4 linked regions of the Schizosaccharomyces pombe genome follow. Changing the gene in region 1 together with any one later gene gives a genetic interaction. Each region holds a gene or a part of one and is shown in the gene's direction. Other genes may lie near its edges. The genes, in order: SPOM_SPCC4F11.03C, utp16, psy2 and rnh202.

What was found.
Region 2: mutations in SPOM_SPCC4F11.03C (region 1) and utp16 together harm fitness more than expected from each alone (negative genetic interaction), as found in Schizosaccharomyces pombe (one large-scale study listed by BioGRID).
Region 3: mutations in SPOM_SPCC4F11.03C (region 1) and psy2 together harm fitness less than expected from each alone (positive genetic interaction), as found in Schizosaccharomyces pombe (one large-scale study listed by BioGRID).
Region 4: mutations in SPOM_SPCC4F11.03C (region 1) and rnh202 together harm fitness more than expected from each alone (negative genetic interaction), as found in Schizosaccharomyces pombe (one large-scale study listed by BioGRID).

Annotation. Positions count from the first base shown.
Region 1 is NC_003421.2:2,006,151-2,010,199, reverse strand, and holds SPOM_SPCC4F11.03C (uncharacterized protein), read left to right. Parts: upstream 1-2,460; coding exon 2,461-3,468; 3' UTR 3,469-3,549; downstream 3,550-4,049. Other genes in the region: mannosyltransferase Imt2, read left to right, coding at 1,004-2,041.
Region 2 is NC_003423.3:3,649,423-3,653,545, reverse strand, and holds utp16 (U3 snoRNP-associated protein Utp16), read left to right. Parts: upstream 1-1,725; coding exon 1,726-1,763; intron 1,764-1,808; exon of another isoform or gene 1,809-1,829; coding exon 1,830-2,372; exon of another isoform or gene 2,373-2,516; coding exon 2,517-2,919; 3' UTR 2,920-3,185; downstream 3,186-4,123. Other genes in the region: ubiquitin protease cofactor Nxt3, read right to left, coding at 1-866, 983-1,057, 1,126-1,239; karyopherin exportin-T Los1, read left to right, coding at 3,465-4,123. UniProt on the Schizosaccharomyces pombe protein: Functions as part of the small subunit (SSU) processome, first precursor of the small eukaryotic ribosomal subunit that coordinates the first two steps of ribosome biogenesis in transcription of the primary transcript pre-RNA and pre-18S processing.
Region 3 is NC_003423.3:893,463-899,243, reverse strand, and holds psy2 (serine/threonine protein phosphatase PP4 regulatory subunit 3 Psy2), read left to right. Parts: upstream 1-1,829; 5' UTR 1,830-2,110; coding exon 2,111-2,822; intron 2,823-2,880; coding exon 2,881-4,679; 3' UTR 4,680-4,872; downstream 4,873-5,781. Other genes in the region: dynein-anchoring factor Num1, read right to left, coding at 1-1,169; squalene monooxygenase Erg1, read right to left, coding at 5,192-5,781.
Region 4 is NC_003423.3:4,072,657-4,077,836, reverse strand, and holds rnh202 (ribonuclease H2 complex subunit), read left to right. Parts: upstream 1-1,741; 5' UTR 1,742-2,115; coding exon 2,116-2,997; 3' UTR 2,998-3,120; coding exon of another isoform or gene 3,121-3,471; 3' UTR 3,472-3,533; coding exon of another isoform or gene 3,534-3,599; 3' UTR 3,600-3,718; coding exon of another isoform or gene 3,719-3,804; 3' UTR 3,805-3,885; coding exon of another isoform or gene 3,886-3,966; 3' UTR 3,967-4,071; downstream 4,072-5,180. Other genes in the region: SPOM_SPBC1347.09 (hexaprenyldihydroxybenzoate methyltransferase), read right to left, coding at 1-387; rex2 (RNA exonuclease), read right to left, coding at 3,121-3,471, 3,534-3,599, 3,719-3,804, 3,886-3,966, 4,072-4,246; serine/threonine protein kinase (CK1 family) Cki1, read left to right, coding at 4,703-4,828, 4,912-5,180.

The DNA of each region.
Region 1 (4,049 bases):
GGTTTTCTTTCGCCACCTCGGTGCGAAATCTAAAAAGTGTATTGAGAAAAAAAATTGTGGGGAAACCGACTTGTATTGATTAAGGAGACGCGGGCATGCATGTATGTCTTTCCTTTAATGTGAGAAGGGCTTAAAGTTAAAATACTTTCTTAAAGGCAACTGCAACAGTTGAAATCGATTAATGCGCCGCTTACTACAACAAAAAAAAAATTCGCAGTTTAAAAATCTTTAAGAAATCATATTCACATTACAGTCTGTGATTGTGGAAACTTATTTTTTCAAAGATCCATCAAAAAAGATTAAACCGTTTTACATGGCTGTTATTTACCAAATTTTCCTTACATCAAGCCTTTCAAAATATCACTCTTTTTATGTTTACAAAATGTTAGTTTTGGTCAATTTCTTCTCGTATGATTTTATATAGACGCCTTCAAGATTCAGTGTAAACGAAAAAAATAATAGCATGATTTTTTTTATCGTCATGGTGATGCCTGAACACAAAGACAGAGTGGCTTTTATTTATTATTTTATCAAGCAAAACTCCTTTAATAATAGCAATCACTTCAAAATTTCGCATCATCTGAAGCCTTTGTTTACTATTCTGAAGTCTTGAAAGGGTAATATCTTTCTTCCACTTTGAATAAACATAAAAGTAAAAAAAAAAGTTCCTCTGTTTTTCTCTTTTGAAAAACAAAACGTTTTTCTTGATTCATCCTTATAAAATTGCATTTAGTACTGTCACGAGCATTTGAAGCTTTCTAAGGATTACTTACTCCCTAGTTGTTTAGATTAGCATTTCCATTTTCGTTTTCTCTTTCTTCAGAACAGTCTCCATTAGAATTGGACTATAGTTCGTTGCTAACAAGTTCGTCTCTCCATTCATTACTGTATACATTACACTCTATCGTTTTTCGGATTGCAAGTGCAAACCTTCTAAATCTTTTTAAAAATACTTTTGCCCCTTCTGCTGTTAACCCATTGTTGATATTAGAAAACTGTTAGGATGGTGAAAGTCATATATAAATTTGCAGTTTTTGCTGCCGTCAACTTTTTCTTGATGAGTTCCATCGTTCTTTACTTCAACAATGAATTCTTGATGTTTGCAGACAGATGTACCAAGGACATCATTCCTTCCGAAGAACTAAGATATTTACGCCAAGTTCTTAATGATTCAATTCCTTCCAAAGATGAACCGTTGCCAACTTTGAAACTTGATTCCTTGAACGATATTTCAGGGGAACCTGTTATTCCAAAAATCATTCATCAAACCTGGAAAACCACAGAAGTGCCTGAAGGATGGAAAGGTGCTCAACAGAGCTGCATAGATTTACACCCAGATTACGAATACATCCTTTGGACTGATGAAATGTCTCGTAATTTCATTGCTGATAACTATCCTTGGTTTTTGCCATACTTCGATGCTTACCCTTTCAATGTTCAACGAGCGGATGTTATTCGGTACTTCGTTCTTTATCATTATGGAGGAAATTACATTGATTTGGACGATGGATGTCGTCAACGGTTAGATAGTCTTCTCTATTATCCCGTATGGGTTCGCAGGACCGACCCTGTAGGCGTTTCCAACGATGTTATGGGAAGTGTTCCTCATCATCCATACTTCGAACTGATCATTCAAAACCTCGAAAAAAATGCGAAGTCATATTGGCTTCCCTACTTGACTATCATGTTGAGTACCGGTCCCCTTTCAATCAGCTTTCTCTGGGAAAAGTACAAAAGACAACTACCCAACCCACCCGCATTTTACGACCACATTCGTGTTTTACTTGAAAGGGATTACAAGTTTTCCAACGACTCTTATTTCACCTTTTATGAAGGATCGTCATGGCATAATAACGATGCAGGCATTATCCTTTGGGCTAACCGTCACCTTGCATATGTAATCGTTGCAGGATTTTGTCTTTACTTTATCCTTAGCTATATGTTTTTCTCCAAGCTGTTGGACAGCCGTTATGTCCAAAGATTTGTCACATCGAAACGTAAACAACCTACACTTCCTCTTGCTCTTCAAGAAGACGTCTAACTTTGTGCATTGTACGTTTCCGTAAAATATGCGTCTTCTTTCCTAAAGATGATATTTCAAAGCTCTAGTGTGAACAGGCAACTTCGTTTCAATTTATATTGAATGGTTACACGAATGAGCATCCCCTTTTCCGTTCTACTATTAGGAATTCAATGAACATTTGCTATTGCTTGTTATACTGTGATTACGAGACGGTGCATAGAGAATTGCGTTGAAACTCGTTAAGGAACTATGAAATCTTACCACATATAGAGGAGCCTCAACCTTCACCACCAAACACAAGCTACGTACGCGAACGCGAATTCTAGGGCAGAGTTCGCTGGTTCACAAAAGTTTGAACATCCTATTTAACTAAAAGGTTGTTCAGATCTATTCAGCTTTGTGATTGCATAGAACTCCCATTGTTTGTTATTCCTTCCATGGATGCGGAAGGTGAACAAAAGTCCAATGGAGTAAAAGAACCTAATACGCCCCTTCGTGAAGCACTGGATGAAATATTTTTAAATGTAGGGTATTTGCTTCGTTCCCTTTTGGCTAATGTTCCCAATGCTCTTTACCATAGTCAGTTGCAGGCGGCATGTCAAAAATTCCAGGATTATTGCGATTTGGAAGAAATACGCATTATTGAAGCAAAACGTGTTGTTGAGCGCGATTTAAGATCTTTGGAAGCAAAAGAGGTAGAGGAGAAATCTCAGTTCGCGTCTTTCGTGAGCGCTACTCCACCTGGAGCAAACAGTCTTCAAGGCAATGTATCTTTGCCCTCGGGCAATAACTTTTTCACTTCCTCTTTTGATTCTGAGAACATTTCGAAACCGGGAGAGGTTTCTTTAAGCGAAAGTCAGTTACTGGGTAACTTGAACCAACAATCATCAATCCAGCTTCCTGATAGGATGCCAAAAACAACTAATGGGACTTTAGCAGATCCAAATATGCCACCTAAGACAACTGTAAATGATCAAGACGTAACAAAGGATGCATCTCAGCAATTTGGAGGCTCAAACTTTTCTAATTATTTAAGAGACAACGATTCCTTCCAATTTGGAATGAATACGGATGCATCGGGAGATGCTCATCTGCAGGCCAGTGAGTTTTTATTACCGAATCTATTTGGAAATTCTTCTACCTCTCCGCAAGACAACTTTGGTACTTCCAATTCAGCTCTTTCCCGTAATTTGGATTTGTTTGGCTCCCCATCTTCTGAAAATAAAAGTACTGCAGGATCGGCTTCTTTGTTTCCTAACCAGCAAATGGGAATTGACTTGCAAGCACAAGAAAACTACAGTGCTGCGTTCGGTAATGATGGCAGCTTTGCTTCGCATTTAACTAATACGTTTGACAACGCTCTAAATCTTCCTACAGACATTCCAACCACTGAAAGCATAAATGACTTGTTTGGTGAGAACTTTGACTTCACCATGACAAAATGAGTTGAGTTGACTTCAGTTCAGCTATGTATGATCGGTTTAACGTGGTTGTTTCAATTTGTCAATGTTTTTTTCATGTATTATTATCTATTACTATAGTCATTCATTTCCAGATCATTCAACAAAAAACCTATAAACGGTAATTATAAAAAACAATTGCATGTCTTTATCCGGTGAGTATCATTTGATTGTATTGCTCTGCACCTTTATGTATGAAAACTAGAGTTGAGACAGTAAGTAGAAAAGCGTTGTCTTTTTCCTATGTTTAGGCCAATGCTAAAATCTCGAATACTTGGTACAATTAGTGTATGTATATATATTTTTACGTGCAAATGGTATTTTAGCAGGAACGGGACAAAATAAAGACAACCCGTAACTTCAGAATAATAATTATAATTCGACTTTTAAATCGAAAATTAAAGACGATAAAAGGGTAAAATAAATTTTTTTTGGTGAACGTATAGCCTTTGTTATAAACACCAATGCATGCACGCAAGTACATTCATAATATTTGCGAAGCAATTGTAAATAAAAATACCGAAAACACTCACGAAGAACCTTAAAAAGAGTGAAATGTTTGTACC
Region 2 (4,123 bases), on another chromosome or scaffold:
GTGCCTTTGCGACGAGCAAACTCAATAGCCTTGACTGGTCCAAAAATGCTCATAGCAGATTTCAATGACACATCAGATGTTTCGGGAGGAATGTTCTTGACGAATACAGATGTCTCCAACAGTTCATTACTCTGAGTGTACGGCGCTGTTGGCTGCTGAGTTTGGTCAGCATTAACACCTTTAACTGTTTGACCAGTTGTAGACGCAGTAGAACTAACTGATGCTTGGGATTTCACATCAGGATGATTACGAGCTATGAGATCAGCCCAAGATTTAGGTGCTGTAGCAACATTTGCATCGCTAGCCCCTATAGCATCAGCATTCTTCGAGTTTGAAGTCAGAGCTTCATCTTGAAGCTGATTTTCCTGCTGAGAAACAAAACTTGGGACTGAGGCTTCCGTAACTTGGATAACGGGTTCTTCAGGAACAGCCAAAGTAGCTTGATTTAGACTGTCGGTCTCATTTGATATAAGAGCGGCTGTGGCAAAATTATTTTCTGTAGCAGCTGGATCCTGGTAATGGCCTTCTTCTTTTGCAGAAGGTAAATGTTCTTGAGATTGCACGCCATTTACGTAAGGTTCAGAAGCAACATCTTTTTTCTCTTTTTCAACAGCATCAGGTGACTCCTCTTCTTCCTCAACATCTTCACGCAAAAAACGGAAAATATCGTTTAAAACAAAATAACCATTTGGTTGTTCTGCAAGGAAAAATGTTTGAGCAAATTTTCTGGATAATTTCCCCTTATTAGACATTTCACCCAGGACCTGGATGACAATGCCACCATTCGAAGAAGCCAAACTGTCAACGTTTGAAATAAGTACTTTGCAATTTTGAAAGTCCAAGTCCAATATCTTGTTATGAATTTCCTAACACGTTAATAAAATGACTATTGGGCAAGACAACGATCATAGAGTTTCGAAAATCGCAAGCAGAATATCACAACCTCAAAAACTTTACATATAAGAATTGTGTTAAAGCATACCTGTTGTCCATGACAAAGACTAATACTCTCGCCTTCGTCTCCGTGAATTAAAGTTGACTTTTTAGTATAGAAACACTGTATTACAGTTAGTACGGTTCACAAGTTGAAGAAAAAAAAACTTTTGGTAAATTATGACGACCTACATGAAGACGATTGGGTTCTTTATTTAAATATGTATAATATTCTTGAACGAACATCCATCCTATCTCATCCTTTCCCAAAACTGGTTCTAATAATGTGGCATTTTCCGCAGTCATGTTTTATTTAACTGTGACAATAGCTATACAAAGAACAGAAAATCTGGCTCTAAAAGACCCAAAACAAAATTCGGTCGTGTCTTATGTTTTCCGTGCGTTGGTCTTTTTAATGTCCCATCTCCTTGCTTTCAATGTCCGTGATTACAGCATTTCGTAATTGGATTTAACGAGACTAAACGATATTTCTGTTGATCTTTTACATTCAACTTGTTCGCATAAGTAAGTTAGTTGATGGAAAGAGAGACCTTTTGGTCAGAAAATTGTTTGGTTTTTCATTTCAACAAATAACATAAACATCATATGATTTACCATAGATCAAAGTTGCATATATTTCTTTCTATTATTGTTTTGCAAATTGATTATATTAGAAACGTTAATTCATTGGAAACCACTAAACATTTTGAATAGTAATACGACTATATACTGTGCTAGAGAGATTAACCTGCTAATGATTTTGCCAAAAGTCAATTAGTTTAACAGCTTTAAATGCAATCGTCTAGAAAAATTATGATACTAAAAAGAAAGTATGCGAGCCTTTAAATCATTTAATTAACGAAAATTGAAATTACTTTCTTCTTCTTATTTACCAGCATTAAAGGGTTAAAATCTAGTGCTATAATTGCAACGTATCTTACTTTAAATAAATTATTTATTGATAAATTTTGTAAGACTCAGGAAAGTACCTATCCTATCCATTTTGTTCACTGCCATTTTGGTGGCATTAAGAAGTTTCACTCGCATTGCCAGTTATCCTCCTCCTACACCAATTCAGGTCAAAAAAGTTTCAAATCCTTTAATAGTCTTCGTTTTATAGTATTAAAATCCAAAACTTGTCTGTTAAGGTATAAACTTCTGATAAAGACATTTTGTTGCATTACTTATTCGAAAATTGAAAATTTGTCAAATACTAGAATGGCAAGATTGACTGCCCCAAGCAAAGGTCCTTCATTTTCAAATTTAAACAAACCAAATGATTTGTTGAAAGCGGAAATTGAAGATAATGAAGCCTCACACTACTCTCAAAATCAATCATCTGACAGTGATTCTGATGAAGCACCTGAAGAAGTTTCGCTGAAGAGCAGCAGCGATGAGGTAAAAAAGAGACTTCAACGTCTGAAAGGGAATGAATTACAGTAAGTTTTAATAAACGGAATGAGGGAAACACTTAAAAATACTATTTGTTTTGGTTTGAGACAGAATAATAATTTGTTTGATAAAAGTTCGACTGCTCATTTCGTTTCCTTGCTTTTGATAGTATTATTTTTAACACATTTTAGGCTTCGAAAAGCTGAAAGAGAAAAACGTAGACTGCAAAATGAAAGAAATCGTGAAAGAAATGCCCAACGGGTAAGCGCATCAAAGTTGGATTTGGCTATTCTTGAGGCAGCTGAAGTTGAAGAAATTAATAGTACCACGGAAATCGAAGAAAAGGTTGACGAAGCAAGCCTTGACCTATATACTCCAAAAGGACATAAAATTGTTTTTCCTAATAACGAAATTCCTAAAAAACGTACTCGTTCATTTCGTAAAGGTGATTTTAAAGTGAGCGTTCTTAAAGAAACAAATGACCCTTTACTAGCGCCGAACTATGAAAAGAAACTGTCACAGCGTAAACGGGATTGGATAAATCGACAATCAGTTCCCCGGGCGTCTAAAAGACGACGTCCCTTGACTTATTAATTTTCCTTTCTCTATTTGGCAACACATTCGCTGTAAATTGAAAGTCAGGCACAAGCATTGCATTTTCTGTTAATATAAGGGTTTACTTTTTTGTTTATTAATAATATTGGTTGGGAAAAGGTTGTCTGGGTTCTAAAACATTCATTATTTGAAGCTTTGGACATGCTAAGTGCAGTTTACGGCTGTTTTTTTGGTAAATGTTTAACATAGTATTTTTAAAAATAAACACTTTAGACAAACATGAGTTAATTAAAGTTGTATCAAGGATTTATTGCCATGCACTAGAGGAAATTCGCTCATGTAACGTTTCGTACATCATAGATATTATAGATATCAGTAGCTATAGCTCATAAGGCCAAAATTTGCATAAATATATTATTAATTGTCTAGTGTATGAACATTTACTACTTATAATTATAAAATATTTGCATATAAATTTCTGAGATGGTTTGTACTTTCGACTACTTGCACTAGGCAAACTTCGCTTTTTAGCACCACAAAAATTTTGTCACTTCAAAGCATTGTTGACCTTCACCTCTGCAGCCATGTCGGCCCAGGATGTCGAAAACGCAGTAGAAGCAGCATTAGATCCTTCTGTAGGACCAATAATAAAGCAACAAGCTACAGATTTTATTGGTAGCCTTAGAAGCTCATCTACAGGTTGGAAAATATGCCATGAAATTTTTAGTGAAAAAACGAAATATAAACCATCAACAAGACTGATTTGCCTTCAAACTCTTAGTGAGAAAGTTAGAGAATGGAACAATGAAAGCAATTTGTTAGAGTTACAGATGATAAGAGACAGTGTTTGGTCTTATATTAAGGAATTAAGCTTTTTGGATGAACCAGCTTATATTAGTAATGCTGTACAACATTTATTGACATTATTGTTTCTTCAACTATATCCAAGCAACTGGAATGATTTTTTTGCTTCACTCCAAGGCGTTATTGCGGCGTCGTCTCAATCTGAGTTTTCAAATTTTTATTTGAAGGTTTTACTTTCCATCGGCGATGAGATTGCTGATTCATTGGTTTTAAAGACAGATGTTCAAATTCAAAAAGATAATTTAGTAAAAGATGCAATTAGGGCAAATGATATGTCTGATATCGTTTCATTCGTCTATGAAATGATGTTGGCCTATAGTAATGCTAAAAACTATGGCACGGTTGGATTGTGCCTTCAAGTATATGCACAGTGGGTATC
Region 3 (5,781 bases), on another chromosome or scaffold:
TTTTGTAGTTGCTGATAAGACAAAAGGAAGCAAATAAACTCATCATCTCTGTCGGTTTCATCTTCGATGTCTATAGAGTTTTCTGGTGATACTGCCTTGTTCAGAGACCTGATTGATTTCTTTATGTCAGCTTTTGTGTTTTCAATTATTTCCGATGATAAATTTGGAGACGGTGTTTTAGTATCGTCAGCTACCAAATGATTTACACTCACTAACTCCTGTTTTGCTAAATTGATGGATTTGAGAACGGCCGATGATTGAGATACCGAAGTTTGTACATTGGATTCCAACGACAAAAAAGGATCTATTGGAAAATCGTGTTTCTCTTCTTGCTCCGCATCAAAAGATGAACTATCAAAATACTTATCCGAGGAAGACTCCAAAAATACAGAATCGTCGTTTTCATCCTCAGTTACCAAAGTATTTTTAGAATCTTCACTTTCATCTATAGTTTCGCCTTTTTCGGCATTCAGTTGAAGCTCGTGAAGGCAAATTCTTAAATTTGTTAATTCCAATGTCAGTTTGTTCTTCTCATCGTTAAGTGAAACGGTCAAAGACTCTACTTCTGTCAATTTTTTCATTAATCCTTGTAGTCTTTGTTCAAGCAAATCCCTTTGTCCTTGCACCTTAGTCTTCTCTTTCATAAGTGTTTTCATGTTTGAAGAAAGTAGATCAAGTTGCTTGATTAAATGGGCATTATCCACTGACAACTTTTTATGCAAATCTTCTTTCTCTGACAGTTGCAGCCTTAAATACCGCAACTGTTGCAGAAGGTTTAAGCCAATGTTAGTAGCATATTGTAGATTGGTTTCAGTAACTGAATATTGATCTACTTGAGAAGACTCACTGAAGCAATTTGTGTTCTTCCTTCTTTCAATTGCAATGTCTTGACGTTGAATAGTAAGCATCTCCGTAATTCTCACCTCCTCCTCCGCTAAATTTTTTTCCAAGTCGCGTAATTTATATCGATTATCAAATTTGTTATTAAAATATGTTTTATTTTCCTTTTGAACCACTTGGTCTTTAATTTCTTGTTCGATTTTTCGTGTTTCACAAAGAATGCTTTCCTCTAACGCTTTCGCATAAGCAAGCTTTATTTTTGCACTTTCATTTCTATTTTTTAAATCAATTGAATATAATTCCACCTCGTTATCTTGTTTTTTCTCCATGAAGGATCAGTATATGTTTTGGTAAGCTCAACTCTCTTTGTCTTTTATATATCGATAAACTCGTAAGCATGCATATCGCAACAGTCATCGTCTTGAATACATAATTTTTATTTCTGGAATTATATCAATTCAATTCGTGTTCTCATTTGGCAAATTTCTCGTATTACGCTTTAACAATAAAACTTAGTAAAAGCAAAAAAACTGTATTTATATTGATGCATTTGCTAGAGTACTTGAATATCTAGCGAAGCTTTAGCAGCTTTCAATATATATATCGGTATAAATACCATTAGTTTGTACTTAAAAATTAACTATTACTTTACAAATGTACCCTGAGCCTCATGATTGACTTGCAAAAAATTGATTTGACGAGGCTACACATGTGTTTAGACAATAATTAACTTTATTTATATTCATATTTAGTTTATTTACTATTTCGAAAAGATTTAAATGCTAATTGTAGACAGTATAAAACGTTTAAAACACAACTCGATATAAGGATTGATTACAGCATATACACCGAGCGGTGAAGTACTCATCGTTAAAATGCATAACGTCCGTTAATGATATTGTTGTAAACAGATACCGAATTACAATGAAAAATAGTGACTGAAAGCACCACGATCACGTATATAATAGTTATTTGACTCTATAAAGAACATAATTCTGCCATAACACTTCAAAATTATGCACGTGAAATATACATAGTACACTGCTTAACAAATCTATTTGTTATATTTTAGGCAAACCAAATAATTAAGTAAAGCGGCATTGCCATTTAATGAGAAATACATTTATTAATAATTACAATCTTGGTGCAATCTACGGTATTGCATTCATTCACCACCACGTTTGAATTTCGTCTTCACTTTTGAAAATTTGGTGACGAACGCCAACGTCGTAAATTCGAAGCTGACGTCTACCCTTAATCCGCCGTAGAAATGGATTCTACGAAGGAAGAGGAAGATTTAAATAATAATATTGATGAAATTTCAGATGGAGAAAATGAAGAAGAGGAATTAGACGAAGCAATTGCAGCTGCATTGCAGAAGATCGAAGTGCCATCGATTCCCAGACGTGTAAAAGTGTACGAAATGGAAGATGAAAACTGGGTAGACTGTGGCACCGGTTATTGCGATGGAAAAATAGAGGGACCGTTGGCTTATTTCATTGTGCGTTCAGAAGCTGATAATGAAACCATCCTTTTGAAAACACAATTGATTGCGGAAGATATATACAGCCGTCAAGAAGAAACTCTCATAGTCTGGCAAGAATTGAATGGTACTGATCTTGCTTTAAGCTTTCAAGAATCTAGCGGTTGTATAGACATGTGGATGTTTTTAGCAAATGTTCAAAAGGCAATATCATCGGTAACTAGAAGTTACTCCAACGATGATATATTGACGGATGAGGGGGCGCTTAATGAAAACTACCTAAACACGGTCGATCTTCCAGCCCCAGAGCTTGCTAATTTAAAAGAAATTGAAGAAGCAGTATATGGATATATGCAGTCTATTCAATCAAGAGATAGTTTGGTTCGTTATGTTTCAAATGAAAATTATATTGATAGACTTATTGAACTTTTTCCTCTGTGTGAGGATCTAGAGAATACAGATGACCTTCATCGATTGTGTTCCATAATAAAAAGCTTTGGTATGTTAATCTACTTTATACTTTTTAGATTCGTTAAATCCTTGCTAATCGCTGTCAGTGCAATTGAACGACGCCCCTTTACTCGAATCGTTGTTCTCTAATGATGAAAAGCTAATGTGTGTAGCTGGTATTCTCGAATACGATCCGGAATTCCCCAATATCAAAGCGAACCATCGGGAATATTTAATGGATTCCAAAAAGTTTAAGCAGGTGGTTCCCATTCAGGATCCACGGATTCTTGCAAAAATTCACCAGACATTTAAGCTTCAGTATCTAAGGGATGTTGTCGTTTCAAGGATTGTTGACGAACCCTCCTTTTCGGTGCTAAATTCATTTATCTTCTTTAACCAGGCTGATATTATTCAATACCTTCAAACAAATGAAAAATTTTTACATGAACTGTTTAGCATTTATGTGAATGAAGGCGAGGATGATCAACGCAAGCAAGACGGTATATTCTTTATTCAGCAGGTTTGCAACATCGCTAAAGGGCTACAATTCCAGTCCTGCTCTGCATTATTTGCTACTTTCGTTAAATTTAATCTTCTGAAAGCTTTGGATTATGCAATGTCACATGAGAACAATTCCGTTCGAAATGCTGGTTCCGATATTTTGGTGTCTATTATTGATCATGAACCTGCCATCGTTTGGCAAAAGTTTGATCAAGATCGCAAGGACGCTTCTTCTTCATTGAGCAATGCTCACGTTTCCCAACATTCGTTGCTTTCCAATTTAATTAACATTTTGCATAAAGAATCAAATCCTGGAGTACTTGCTCAAATTTCTGAAGCTTTTAAAATGCTACTAAGTTTACCTGGTAGCTATGCATACAATAATCCTTACAGAAATGCTGATGGAAATGTTCGAAATAAAACCGATAACATTATTGGAATTAATTTTATTGAAAATTTTTATGATAACTCTTTTAATATGCTTGCTGCTCCTTTATTGGAGCTGGAAAATGTATCGAGTTTAGATGTTAAAAAGCTTGATATGTATATGCATTTGTGTGAGCTTTTTTGTTATTTTTTTCGTATACACGATTATTGGTCTCGTCGTTTTGATACATATAAAACCCTTACATCAAAAGTGGCTCTATTACTATACAGCGATAGAAAATATGTTGTTTTGAGCGCCCTTAGATTTATTCGCTCTTGTTTGGCCGCTCGTCAGTCAGAAATGTCCTTGATCATGTTAGAAACTGACACATACGGAAAAGTTCTGGACTTGATGTTAAAGGTCAAAGACCAAACTAATTTAGTCAACTCAGCTGCTTTAGAGTTTTTTGAATTTTTAAGATCCGAGGGATCTGAAGATACACTGGATTATCTCAATAAAAACTATCGACCACAGCTGGAATCTTTAAATAATCTCAGTACTTTTTCTGAGCTTTTAAATATAATAGATGGCTTAAGCTCTGACTCAAGAAGCCCTAAAACTGTTGGGACTCATGAATCAAATAGTTATGAATTTGACGGTGCCTCCAATAATAACCAACGTGTTGGAGACGACGTATCCAAAGATTGGGAAATACAGCAAGATTTTTCTATTGAAAACGATACTGAATTATCAGAAAAAGTTGGACAACGTACTGTTCTTGATTCTATAGCCCCTGCTGAGCTAAATATTGAAGACAGTTGCGAGCAGCCAAAGCAACCTATATTAGAGGATCGTTATTTCCTTGAGTCTGCAGTTTATGATACCTCTGCAGAATCTTCAGGTATTAATGTTTCAAACACCCGTTATTCTAAAAGGAAATCGGATTTCCAAGTTGATGATCAGCAAGCTGATGATGAATCACCAAAAAAGAGACTCTCTATCGATTCAAGTTCTGCCCAGAATGGCTACGCTTCCTAGAAGATGAACATAAAAAGGGAAGCTCCAAAAACTCTAGAAGATTGTAATGCAAGTGAATCATCATATGGACATCGTATTTTTGTTCCCGGGTTTATCATTGTTTTGAAAACTCATCTGTATAATATAAACGATTTGGGTTGTTCATTAAGGGACTTTTAAAATAATAAATACCAATTTTCATGTTACTATCGTGGTCTTGTAGTCTCGGGATAATTGTTTACTTAACGCTGACGAATAATTGTACTTAGTAGGCTTAAAAATTAAAAAAAAGTATTTTATATTAAAACGGCAATTTATAACTCTTGAAAAACAGAGGGATTTATATAATAAACAAAAAGAGTGTGAAGTCATTACAAACTTGAACCCAACTCTATCTAAAACTATTTCTTTAAAAACAACGACGTACCAAACAAGGCAAAAACCAAATAGCTATCAGTGATTGCCAAGACAATCATAATCAACCAATTCATAAATCAAAAATAATTTAATTTTAATGAACTGATTCTGCAAACTTAGGATGACATTTCGCTAAGGATATAAGGGATAATTACTAGCGAAGCTTGTAAGAAAATCAATAAGGATTCGATGATACGGACGGGCATAAGCAAAGCAGGACCAGACAAGACATATTGGTAAATACCATAGAGACAGACGGCATAGAAGTGGCCGATAAGATGAGAAGGGCTATGGTCTAAACCGCCTAATAAACGAATGGGACCTTCAACACAATTACCTCCACGCTTGAAGTAATCGATACAGCCCGATTCAAGAGCCTTCATATAGCGATTTTTAGGGGTAAACAATTTGTACAAAGCAATGGAAAGAACGTTGATTACAAAACTGTAACCCTTACGCTTCCAATGGAATTTGTTCATTTGGTTTAAAATGCGCTCGTAGTCTAGAAGATCGGGAACAGCGGAAGGGGAAATGAATCGGGAAAGAAGATAGGCATCGTGAAAGCAAACAGTCATACCACCGCCGGTAAGGGGATGGCGCATATTGTTTGAATCGCCAACGAGGATCATACCTTTGGTACGGTTGACAGTGGGGGGTAAAAATTGGTTAGGCATGGACCTAAGACGATCGTTATAAACAGCGGCCT
Region 4 (5,180 bases), on another chromosome or scaffold:
GGCTCTTTCTTTGGGAATGTTCATCTTTCTAAATTTTTCATTATAAACGTCCACCATGTCTTGGGAAACGTCTATGCCAACAATTTGTTTACAGTAAGGGAACAGGTGTTGGCTAATTAAACCAGTTCCACAAGCAAAATCCAATATACTCATACCACTTTTCTTCCAAAAATTATTTACATTTGTCAAATCATCATCCGAAGTTAAAAGCAGCCTATCTTGATCATATTTTGGGAGATCATGTCTTAGGCTGGTTTCGGAATTGTCTTCAAACTGTAAAATTTTTGAAGAAATCACTTTGGAAATCGCCAAGGTACTTGGATTGTCATATTTCGATGCTTCTATTTTGTTGTAATGAGACACGTTGGCATAAACTATATCCGACATGATATTTTAGTTCCTTTTATATTGTTAATGAACGGTGAAGTCTTGCTAATAGGAATATTAAAAAAAAAGATAATCAAGGACTATCTTTAAATGGTTATGACTGAAAATTTATGTCACAAGGTACCACGATTATGAAAGATTAGCACAATTTCCCTTTTTATGATTAATATAACTAAAACTTATTAAGCGAGAATTTGTTTAGAACTATTATTGGATGTTAGACAGAAAAGAGCCTGTTAATATAGAAACTTCAGTAGCTTCTTATTTTAACTAAATTATTGTATTCGACAGATTAGGATTCCTGTGACCGTCCTTTTGCTTTTGTATAACGCTCATTTTTGTATTACCCTAATACCCGAATTTTGTAAATAAGCTTGGACTTTTTATATACTACTGGAAACCGCTGCGCATAATTTAAGAAGCTAAATTGGGTTTCGTTCCAACACACTATTTGCATTGAATTGTAAAGTATTGTTTACATGAATCGTTTTGAGTAAATCCCTAGGTAGGGTGTTAAATGAAGCAATTAAGCATGATTCAAGATATTCGTTAAAAAGTACGAATCATTTGGCCTAAATTGTTAGTCTAGCTGACTTGCTGCATGGCTCTCAAAGTGGCCCGCAAGAAAGGCTCCATAAATTGCTCAGATCACTGTAAGTATTTACTGTTAAGTAAAAATACAAAAAGGAGCTTCGCTAATGAAACAGTAATTTGGAAGTTGATCTATTCATGTCACAAAAAATGCGGTAGCAATGTAATAATGTTATAACCCATTTTGAGACTTACACCGAAAGAATGTACACGAGGAAGATTCATTCATCAATGGTTTAAATAACACATCAACCACCTTTGAGGTACTTGCAAGCAAGGAAGGTCATATTCGTTCGCTTTTAGTTACTTCACTAATTTTCAACTAATGTACTTCACGTTTTTCATTACTTTACAATCAACGTAGTAGAACATGTAGACTTAGTCTTGTTCACCATTATACACTCTTTATGTATAACGTCCGCAACCAGTTTTTTTTCATTAAAAAAAAAAAAATTCGATGTGATAAACAGTTAGTATAGTCAATCTAGCAATTATTAAGATGAGAAAATACTCAATGTCTATTTTATTAGTTTATTAAGGATATCTATACTTTGGCTTTTCAATTTAACCAATGCTGTTTTTTTTTGGTACTTGAAGCCGCAAGCTTTCTATTCAATTCACTACCGTGGTTTACCATTGAATTTCTCATAACTAAGATTGCCGCTCTTGACTTCAACATCGACTGTTATATTTCTTTTTTAAGAATATGCATTTCATTTTTTTGTACTGCTTTCTTATAAAGATGGAGTTCTTGACTAACAACGTGTCTTGAACAGACAACAAAAAGTCGGTACGAATCTCCTCTTACTTCAGCCATCTTTTATATCAACTTCATGATTATCTTAAGAGGAACAATCAATTTTATATGCTTAATTTCTTTCGTATATGTACAACTAGAGTCGTCACTGTTTTAAATTTTGATATACCCAAATCGTTGTCAATACTTTTACAAAATACTCATCTTTAGCTGAAAGTTACACAACGAAATCTTTCTAATTAAAAAATTGTGTTTGCAAGTACTCAGAGTTGTTTTCAATTGATATCTTTGCATTTTTTACTTTTGTTGCAAATAGTGGTACGAAGTTTCAGACGTGATTGCCTCACAAATTTTGGGGTTTCATAATTTAAACTTAAAAAATGCAGGGAAAGATATTCATACTACCCAAAGATTCTACAAATCAACAATTTGTTGAACTCTCACATCCCTTGACCGGGAGACCACTTCGTTATTTATTAACAAACGATCACCTTTTACAAATCCTTCAAGTTGGGGATTCTTCAAAACAAAGGTCTTGGTTTGTAGGGGATCATGTAGTATCGGACGGATATCTCTATGTTTGCACCCCGATAGACTTACTCGCGCTTGTGCTTCCAATCATTCAGGAACTTACTTGGAGTCGCCGGAAAGAACCGAATCGATATGTCTCGTTTGAAGACTTCATTGAACACTTTGATAATATGGGTCCTCATTATCCACGAGTGTCAGAAGTCCTCTCTCCGAATTTGTTGAACACATTACATCGGATTTGTAAAGTAAACGAGCCAGTAGGATCTTTGCCCAAGACCTTTCAACTGGATGAATCTTCTGTTGTTAAAATTTTACTAAGGAAAGCCAAGGTTGCTCAAGAAAATCTTCCCCCTAGTATTGTAACCGAACTTAAAAAACAGTTAGCGCCTTTGGACCTCCGCACGCCGCTTCCACAAGATTTACTAGAATTGTCATGCAAGTGGCATGCCGCTTCATTGGTTTGTGAAGATCTTCAACCTGAATGGTATAACAAATTAGCCTACTGGCAGGAAGAATTGGCCCCACTGCACGCTTACACTAAAAACTTAGAAGAATCAAGAAAGATTTTGGTAGAAAAGGAAGCTTTGTTAAATTCTAAAAAACGTCCACAAAACAGTGATATTACATCAAGTCTTTTAAAAAAGCCCAATCGGAAGCAGGCCACCAAGAAGTCCAAATACTTCTCAGGAGAAGGAATGACGAAAATATCTTCATTCTTTACAAAAAAGTAAGATCACCGAGGTATGATTTTGCTTTTATTTTTTTCTTAGCATAGTACCCTTAATTTTTTTGGCATGTTTACAAGATATTGTCAATTGCTGTAAAAGTGGAATTCTTCTTTCTTGAGCAATGTTTCAAGAAAGCCAATAAGAGCGGTAATGTTGAAGTTCACCAATACTTTCAAGAATATCCGACAATGCGCGATGATCACCCTTTTTATCATAAGCAGGAATATCCGGGCACCAGCGTTTGGCTAATTCCTTAATAGTAGAAACATCGATAATTCTGTAATGCAAATGTTCGATTATCTTTGGCATCTCGACAGATAAAAACCTTACGTCTGCATGGACACTGTTTCCAGCGATTAACGCTTCTCGTTTTTTTGGAATGTATTTTTTAATGTATGCTAACAACTGGTTTTCAACGTCTTTCACTGTTAAATTACTCTGTCTACATCTTTCCGTAAGACCACTTTTCCCATGTTGCTGTTTATTAGTATAATTAGAAAATTGACATCCGTGAATGAACTAAAAGCAAGAAAAGATACCTCAATACACCAGTCATTCATTTCACTCAATTGCTTTTCGTCGAGTTTAATAACAGCATCAAATTTCTACGCCTTAGTTAGTATGACAGCCTTAATAAACGCTCAACTTCGAAACCATGCATTTGTTTCTCTTGAAACATCTCAAGTTAAAAGCCGATGTTTCAATGTTCACAATTAAAAGTTACCTCTTCAACGGGGCGAAGATTTCCATCAGTAATGATTGCCGCGACCTCCATCAATACATGCTTTCCCACCTCTAACCCGGTCATCTCTTCAATCATATTAGTACAAGTTACCTATAAAACCATCGTAATGCATTTTAAAAGCTAAGATTATACTAAAGCTCACTAACCGCAATCAATCCAAACAAGGGGCTGCTTTAAATTCGACATTTTGAGGTTGGAGAATGGACTTTTCAATTTTGAGATGAAATCTTTATATTAGTAAAAGTTTAAAAACTGAGGTACACATCGACAAAAAGAAACTTAAACATGTAAATTGTAGAAATGATAACTTGATAGACTGAATCTAAACATACTCGTATTCGTTGATAAGTCTTGCTGGAAAATGGGTTTGGAAATTTGACAAATATTTTTGCGATATGTTGGCTGCAAGAAGCGCGAATGCAACGAGCTAGTGCGTTTGCTATACAAGCGTTTTTTAATGTGATATGACTGCAAAATGATTCTATTATTTAAGAATGCACCTTGCATATGAAAATACGGTATTATTACTTAATGAAAGTACTTCGTTGTAAGTTGGATTTTAATATCCGGGATTTTTTAAAATTAAAAACTTAGCTATCGATTGATTTTTGCAATGAAAACTAGTAATAGTATGTTTATTTAAACGTTTTGAAACAGTGTTTGTATTCCAAAGACAGCATTACCTAACCCCTTAATCAGGCAGGAATAGAGGGAAGTGATGCACATGACACTTCCGTAACTAAAGCACCACTAAAAACATCCGTTCCAACACCATCCACCTCTTTTCTCAATAACGGCTTGAATAGTTGTAATTTCAAGGTTTGTATAGGAGATCTTTGTGATTCAATCTAATTCATAAAAGTATTTAAACAGGAATCGCTTACAACCTAGTTTTTTGCATTCGATAGCGGAAAACGGAGACATCATATTTGACAAATCTCCAGCACAAATCGTTCAAAGATAATGAGTGGACAAAACAATGTAGTCGGTGTCCACTACAAAGTTGGAAGAAGAATTGGCGAAGGCTCGTTTGGTGTTATTTTTGAAGGGACGAATTTGTTGAATAATCAACAAGTAGCCATTAAATTTGTAAGTGAGAATCCATTTGATGCCATGCTTTGAAGCTGGATATTTTTCTTGTTTCCTTCATTACTGATTGATTTTGCTTATAGGAACCAAGACGCAGTGATGCTCCTCAATTACGTGATGAATACCGTACTTACAAGTTGCTGGCAGGATGTACGGGTATTCCGAATGTTTATTATTTTGGCCAAGAAGGGTTACATAACATTTTGGTGATTGACCTTCTTGGGCCAAGTTTAGAAGATTTGCTCGATCTCTGCGGCCGTAAATTTAGTGTAAAAACAGTTGCTATGGCCGCAAAACAGATGTTGGCAAGAGTGCAATCTATCCATGAGAAGAGTCTCGTTTATCGAGACAT